Linked DNA regions of Nothobranchius furzeri. The protein of the gene in region 1 purifies or fractionates together with the protein of each later gene. This does not show direct contact. Links are inferred from orthologs where the notes say so. Each region holds a gene or a part of one and is shown in the gene's direction. Other genes may lie near its edges.

The links. Proteins that work in one complex are often made in the same cells at the same time.
Region 2: the proteins of polr2c (region 1) and rprd1b purify together in Homo sapiens (affinity purification with mass spectrometry; 3 studies listed by BioGRID and IntAct, counting the BioPlex papers as one, with this or other methods). This does not show direct contact. The link is inferred for Nothobranchius furzeri from reciprocal best matches to the Homo sapiens genes POLR2C and RPRD1B.

What each region holds. Positions count from the first base shown.
Region 1 is NC_091744.1:86,086,324-86,089,197, forward strand, and holds the end of polr2c (DNA-directed RNA polymerase II subunit RPB3), read left to right. Parts: intron 1-1,246; coding exon 1,247-1,375; intron 1,376-1,447; coding exon 1,448-1,499; intron 1,500-1,598; coding exon 1,599-1,767; intron 1,768-1,841; coding exon 1,842-1,916; intron 1,917-2,073; coding exon 2,074-2,218; 3' UTR 2,219-2,362; downstream 2,363-2,874. UniProt on the Homo sapiens protein: Core component of RNA polymerase II (Pol II), a DNA-dependent RNA polymerase which synthesizes mRNA precursors and many functional non-coding RNAs using the four ribonucleoside triphosphates as substrates.
Region 2 is NC_091755.1:32,652,116-32,656,131, forward strand, and holds the start of rprd1b (regulation of nuclear pre-mRNA domain-containing protein 1B), read left to right. Parts: upstream 1-1,214; 5' UTR 1,215-1,869; coding exon 1,870-2,020; intron 2,021-4,016. UniProt on the Homo sapiens protein: Interacts with phosphorylated C-terminal heptapeptide repeat domain (CTD) of the largest RNA polymerase II subunit POLR2A, and participates in dephosphorylation of the CTD by RPAP2. Transcriptional regulator which enhances expression of CCND1.

The sequences.
Region 1 (2,874 bases):
TTAGAGCCCTTTAATTGGCAGAATCTGATATTAATTTAGTTCTTACAAAAAATGGGTCCCAACATGGTTTGTGTGGCGTTGCCATAGTGTGACGTCATAGGCACAGATCCCCTGTCCTCTTGTTTGGAAATGGAAATATGATCACCCTACATTAAACAAACTGTCCACCCGGGCTTTTGCGCTGCACAGAGACGCTTCGCTGCCTACGACTGAACGTCAGTTGAGAGTCAGTCTCATGCAGACTGACCAATGAAGAGAGGGCCTCAAGTTAAGACCCTCTCCTCATTGGTCAGTCCACACGAGGTGGGTCAAAGGTTACTCTGGGCGGGTTACGTGTTGTCAGGCATTCAAGTATTGAGTATATTTACTGCATATTACAGTAAAATATTCTGTATGTGACCACATTATGGTGATCCTCGGGTCGTGATGATGGAGCCCTTGAATATTGTTGCCCAGGGTACAACAAAGTGTTAATCTGGCCCTGGTTCCGCCGTCACATTCCCGCAGAAACTGGTTGATCACACCGGGGCCAGACTACTAGCATGTGGTTTTACAACCACAATGTCCTCAGAAGCAAAAGCGCTTTTAAAAGGGAGGGAGGAGTCCTAACTGTTGCTGCAGGCGTGTTGTGTGAGAGTGCAGTTATATACTGGTTAATATATTTTTGGGTTCAGTTGCTTTCATGTGGCCTAATGTGAGTCTATTTGGGATCATTGGAATGATCAGCAGCATTTCTTGATGTGACTTTATGGCAGTTGCCCAGGGCATCATCGCAAGGAGGATGGCATTCATTTACTTTTGCTTTATTTGGTATTTTTTCAGTCATTTTTGGAAATAGTGATCAATTTTGATTAATTCACAGCCAATGTTTAATTACATTTAAAATAAATGTCAACAGATGAGATCAAACAAAACAGATGAGAATTGCCCTTAAGCTGTTTAACTTGGACCAAGCATTTTAGGTCACAGATAGATGTAGCTTAGGGTCTCTGTCTATACACCTTATAAGACAATTTAGGTGATGGCATGTTGTTTTCTAATAATGTTGTGTTAAATAAAGTGAAGGAAGGAGAGAAATAACGTTTCCCTAGCAGTTTTAAAAAATTTCCCCATGTAATCCGATTAATCGATTAATCGTGTCGAGACCCCATCCGATTAATCGATTATCCATATAATCGTTTGTTGCAGCCCTAGTGGTTATTGTTGGTGTCAGCATCATTGTCCCACGTGTCCGCTCCTCCTGCAGGACTGTACCTGTGAAGATTTCTGTCCTGAGTGCTCCGTGGAGCTGACCCTGGATGTTCGGTGCACGGAAGATCAGACGCGTCACGTCACCTCGCGTGACCTGTTGTCCAACAATCCCAGAGTCATCCCGGTGAGTGTGCAGTCTCTGGAGTTGCATCACAGAGCAGAACACAAAGCTTAACGTTCTCTTGTGGGTTTCTAGGTGACTTCTAGGAGCCGAGACAATGATCCAAATGACTACGTTGAGCGAGAGGGCGAGTTTCTCTTTAAAATACTTGTGGAACAATTTCATTGTGTTCTTCCACACTTTGCTTATCTACATTTTCTGTTTGTGTCGTTTACCAACACGACAGACATTTTGTTGGTAAAGCTTCGTAAAGGTCAGGAGCTTCGGCTCAGAGCGTACGCAAAGAAAGGTTTTGGTAAGGAGCACGCCAAGTGGAACCCAACCGCGGGGGTGTCCTTTGAGTACGACCCGGACAACGCACTGAGACACACGGTCTATCCACGACCTGAGGAGTGGTACGTCTTCATTTCACCATAAATCTTGTAAATTATAATGCTGAACAGCAACAGAATGGTGTGTTTTATCTCAGGCCAAAGAGTGAATACTCTGAGATCGAGGAGGATGAAGTTCAGGCTCCCTACGACCCAAACGGAAAGCCAGAAAGGTAAATAAACTTCTATTATAGGATAATTTTAATGATGTTTCCTGTTAAGAAGTTCTGCGTGTTCTTGGTTCAGCTCAGGAATCGTTTTTACTTTAAAAAAAAAACACAAAACTGAGATGTTCTGAAAAGGAAAACTTGGGATTTTTGCTCCATCCAGGTTCTATTTCAACGTGGAGTCGTGCGGTTCTCTTCGACCAGAGACCATCGTCATGTCGGCGTTGGCGGTCCTCAAGAAGAAGCTGAGTGACCTGCAAACGCAGCTGAGCCACGAGATCCAGAGTGACGTTCTCACCATCAACTAACTAAGCAGAACCTGGATTCACACTGGCTAGGGGGGTTCTGAGATTAATACAAAATATTTAGTTGGATTAAGAATAAAACTTCAAACTGTCAGATAATTATTTTTTGTTTAATGACTGTTTTTAAATAAATCCTTTTTAAATGTGTGTCTCTTTACTAGTGTTCGTTTTATTTTGAAGACCAGCTGTTGGAAGTTTGAAGTGACCTGAAGAAACTTTGTGCTTCAAAGATAAAAGAAAAACAAGAAAACTAAATCTCTAGATAATGACAGCAGTATGAAAATCGAGCTATTTGTAATATTCTATTTAATTTGATATTTTTTGTAATTAGAATTTTAATCCTCCAATGAAAACAAAAAATAATGACTTCAGATTATGTTTAATTGTAATTGGTAATCTGATTTGATTGATGGCCACATACTCTGTTAAAAAGGGATTAAATTTATTAAGCCATCTAGATGCAACTGACTAGCGCTTCATCATCATCACAACACCACCCTGCTTCACTGGCTGCCAGTCAACTTCAGGGTTCATTTCAAGATCCTGGTTCTGGTCTATAGGGCCTTACATGGACAAGCACCATCTTACATTGGTGATCTTCTTAGTCCCTACACCCCCAGCAGGTCCCTGAGGTCCAGTGATCAAAGCCTACTGGTTGT
Region 2 (4,016 bases), on another chromosome or scaffold:
TGATTTTTTTGGTTATAACAGAGATCTCACTCCAGATGAAAACTACATTTGTTTTCCATCTAGTTTGCTGCCTATTGAAAAAAAATCTGTACAGGTGCACCATGGTTTGCATTTTGGTTGATATTTGAACCTCAAATGATAATACACATCTTTTGCACTGATATTTGACTGAAGGTCCATGTGTGCAGATCCCAAACCCATTGTTTTGAATGGAATAGTGTGTATTTTATCAGCCACAGTAAAAAGAAGGCAAATGATCATGAAAATTAGTTTGTTTTAACTCAAAGATCTGGGCTAAAATTTGAGTTTTGGTTTCCGTCAGAACAAATGTCTGGTGATTGGTAAGATAAACACACAGTTACTGTTTGTTCAGCTGGGAAACCAAAAGCAGCCGAGGTAAGACAAACAGCAGCTTTGTAAAAAGGTGATGCTGCCATTTAGAAAATTATTTATTAAGATGTACTTAAACTGCAAGAAGAGCATCCAAACTTGGATTACATTTGTCTCTTTCACAAGGCAAGTTATAATAAATGCATGTAGTTCAGTGTATGCTAGATTTGTAGTTTATGTTTTACAGTCATTTTCTTTCATTGTGAGCAACTGACAAATTATTATACACACAAGCTACAAGCGATTATCTAATTATTAATTTTATTTAATGATTTAAAGTGGACTAAAAGACCAAATCTAATGGAATCGTTTGCTTACAGAGTTGCAGGAATTGTGTTTTTACTATTATTTTTCTGACAATGCAAGTCAAGTTTTATTTTTAAAATGTACTAAATTTATTTTAATTTACTAATGTGGCAATTGTAATGACTGCATCATCACACATGAACCTAAAATGTTAACAGAACAATGGTGTAGTTTACGTTAGTTGCCACTTGGGGCGCCAAATCTCAATCTCCCCATTATTCTCAATAGTTAACAGAACAAGAGTGCAGCACCAGCATTATGCCACTAGGAAGCGCCAAATCCCCCATCTCCTTTTCTAAATTGATAACAGAATACTTGTGCAGTGTGCAGTTCCAGCTTTTCGCCACTGGTGGGAAATTAACAGCCCTCCTCCTTCATAAAAAGTCAATTAAAAAGTCCAGACAGCCATTTTGGTAAACACTTTACATGAATACAATTTTAATTATGTTTTAAGCCAAATAAATTGGGTGAGCAAACAAATATAGAATGATTAGAAACGTATTCAACTCTGTAAAAAGAGTTGTGTGTTCATAAGAGTTTGCAATTTTGTGTTTAGAGTATTTTACAGTGTATTTTGCCTTTGTTTTGCCAGTTCGATAATGCGCGGGTTCTGTCACGTCATTTCTCTGCGACGCACATGTCGAGGTGAAAGTGCAAGCTGCCATTTTTCGAGGCATTTTTTTCATGATTTAGGGCGAGAAACTTAGTTTGTGAGTTGTTTTTTAAATTATTTTTTGCTATTGTCTTTTATACATCATCGCTTGGAACACCTCAAAAAGGAATATTGTGGATTTTTGTGTTTGTTTTACGTAGTTAAGAGAAGAGGAGCTCCAGGGCTGCACTGTTCTGCAGATGGCTGCTTAGCTCGCCTAGCTAACGTTAGCAATCGCTGTAAACAAACAGCATTCAACAAAGATTCAGCAGCTACGCTATTGAAGCATCTTCAGCAAGTATTGGTTAGCTCTTTAGTTCCTTAAGTGCTTTCCTACCGTTAGATATATATATCTGTAACCGGCAGTAGAAAGCTGTCCAATGCTGTAAGTCTACGAGTTTAGCGACACAACTTGAGTTTTGATGACTGGGCGAGTTTCTCCAAAATAGCTCGGAGCTCGGTTGCTTTAGAGCCAGTGGGGGTCAGTTTTAGTGGAATTAGACACTCTAGAACCAGTTGGCATGTCGTCCTTTTCGGAATCTGCTTTGGAGAAGAAGCTGTCGGAGCTGAGCAGCTCTCAGCAGAGCGTCCAGACTCTGTCTCTGTGGATCATCCACCACCGCAAACACTCGGCTCTCATCGTCAAAGTCTGGCACCGAGAACTCAAAAAAGGTGAGATATAACAACAGGATCCTTGTCCGATCATAGCCCTGAATGAAGTTAAAGCTGTTGTAGGATGAGCTGGAGTCACATATTTCAAGCAGATTTTAACAAACGTATTAATAAGCAGATGCTTTTCAATTCTTCCAATGTTTACATCAAACATGGAAGAGAAAGCATAGAAAATAACTCCATCCATGCGGTATATTATTCAGGACGTACAAGTAGTATCAGTATCCATGTTTTGTTTTTGAGTAAGCTCTTGATTTACCGGTCGATCTACTTTCCAATCCTCATTTGTGGTCACAAGCTTTTGGTAGTGACCGAAAGAGTGAAGTTGCAGATACAAGCGGCCAAATTTAGTTTTCTCTGCAGAGTGGCTGGGCTCTCCCTAGGTGAGAAGCTCGGTCATCCGGGAGGGGCTTGGAGTAGACCTGCTGCTCCTCCACATCGAGAGGAACCAATTGATGTGGCTCGGGCATCTGGTCAGGATGCCTCCTGGACGCCTCCCTGGTGAGGTTTTCTGGCCACGTCCAACCGGGAAGAGACTCAAAGGAAGACCCAGGACACGTTGGAGGGACTATTGTCTGTCGGCTGGCCAGGGAACGCCCTAGAATTCCCCTGGAAGAGCTGGCCCAAGTGGCTGGGGAGAGGGAATTCTGGGCATTTCTGCTTAGGTTACTGCCCCCACGACCCGTCTCCGGGTACGTGGAAGACAACGGATGGATGAATGAATGTGCATCAGCTGTGAGAGCTGGGTTGCAATGATGATGAGTTAAGAGTCTTGAAATGTCACTTTTAAGTTAGTGACACTATCAATATCAACATCAAATAAATGTATTTTCTTTCATCTTTTTAACTCCTTAACGGCCAGTCATTTTCTGATCAGAAAAGCCCTTCGCTGCCAACGTTTTTCAGCGTTTTCACTGTTTATTTTTTAAGAGTCACAGAACATAGAGCTCTATGATGATGTCAACACCAACACTACCAGAAGAAAGAGTAGACTCACCTCTTACATCAGGAAGAATCCGCGTGTTTCTAGCGTTATCCGTTCTTTCATAATCCGTTGTCGAATTGTGATCGGCAAAAACTTTTCTGGTTCGCTCACTTTTTTTTACAACAGCGGCCCAAAACGATCTCCTATCACATGGGTTTTCTGCTTCCTGATCACGTGACATATAATGTACATGGATGAAGATCGGCTTTAGAGCTGGGATGTTTGTTCTCACGGTGCAGGAACTCGATCCGACGCCCACACAGTAAAAAAATGCAAATGACCACTTTTGTCGTCAGTGGCAGTTAATGAGTCAAATAGTTTCTTCTTGCAGATTCACTGTAACACAGTCATAAACAAGTTGCAGTAAACTAGATGAAGAGAAGTAGTGATGCACCGGCGCCGCTATGAAATTTTAGGGCCGATACCGATATTAAGATCACTGTTATAGCCGACAACCGATATTTGCCGATACCGATATACTGACATAAACTCATTCACTGCCATTGACGACTAAAGTCGTCATTTGCATTTTTTTAGTTTGAGCTTCGGAACGAGCCCCCGTGCTGAGAGAACAAACATCTCAGCCCTGACGCCGATCTTCATCTGCATACGTCACACGTCATGTGATCAGGAAGCAGAACATCCATGTATTAGGAGATCGTTTTGGGCCGTTCCTGTAAAAAAGTGAGGCGCGAACCGGAAAAGCGTCTGCCGATCACAATTCGATAACGGATTATGAAAGAATGGATAACGCTCAAAACACGCGGATTCTTCCTGATGTAAGAGGCGAGTCTACTCTTAGTTTTGGTTGTTTTGGCGTCGACATCATCCTAGCGCACAACGTTCTGTGACTCTTAAAAAAACTGTAAAAACGGTGAGAAACGCTGGCAGCGAAGGCCGTTGGCGATCAGGAAACAGCTGGCAGCGAATGAGTTTATGCTTCTAAAATCAACAGATTTTGTAAAGAATGAAAATTATTAAAGCTGAATTTACGTTATTATGTACACCCCA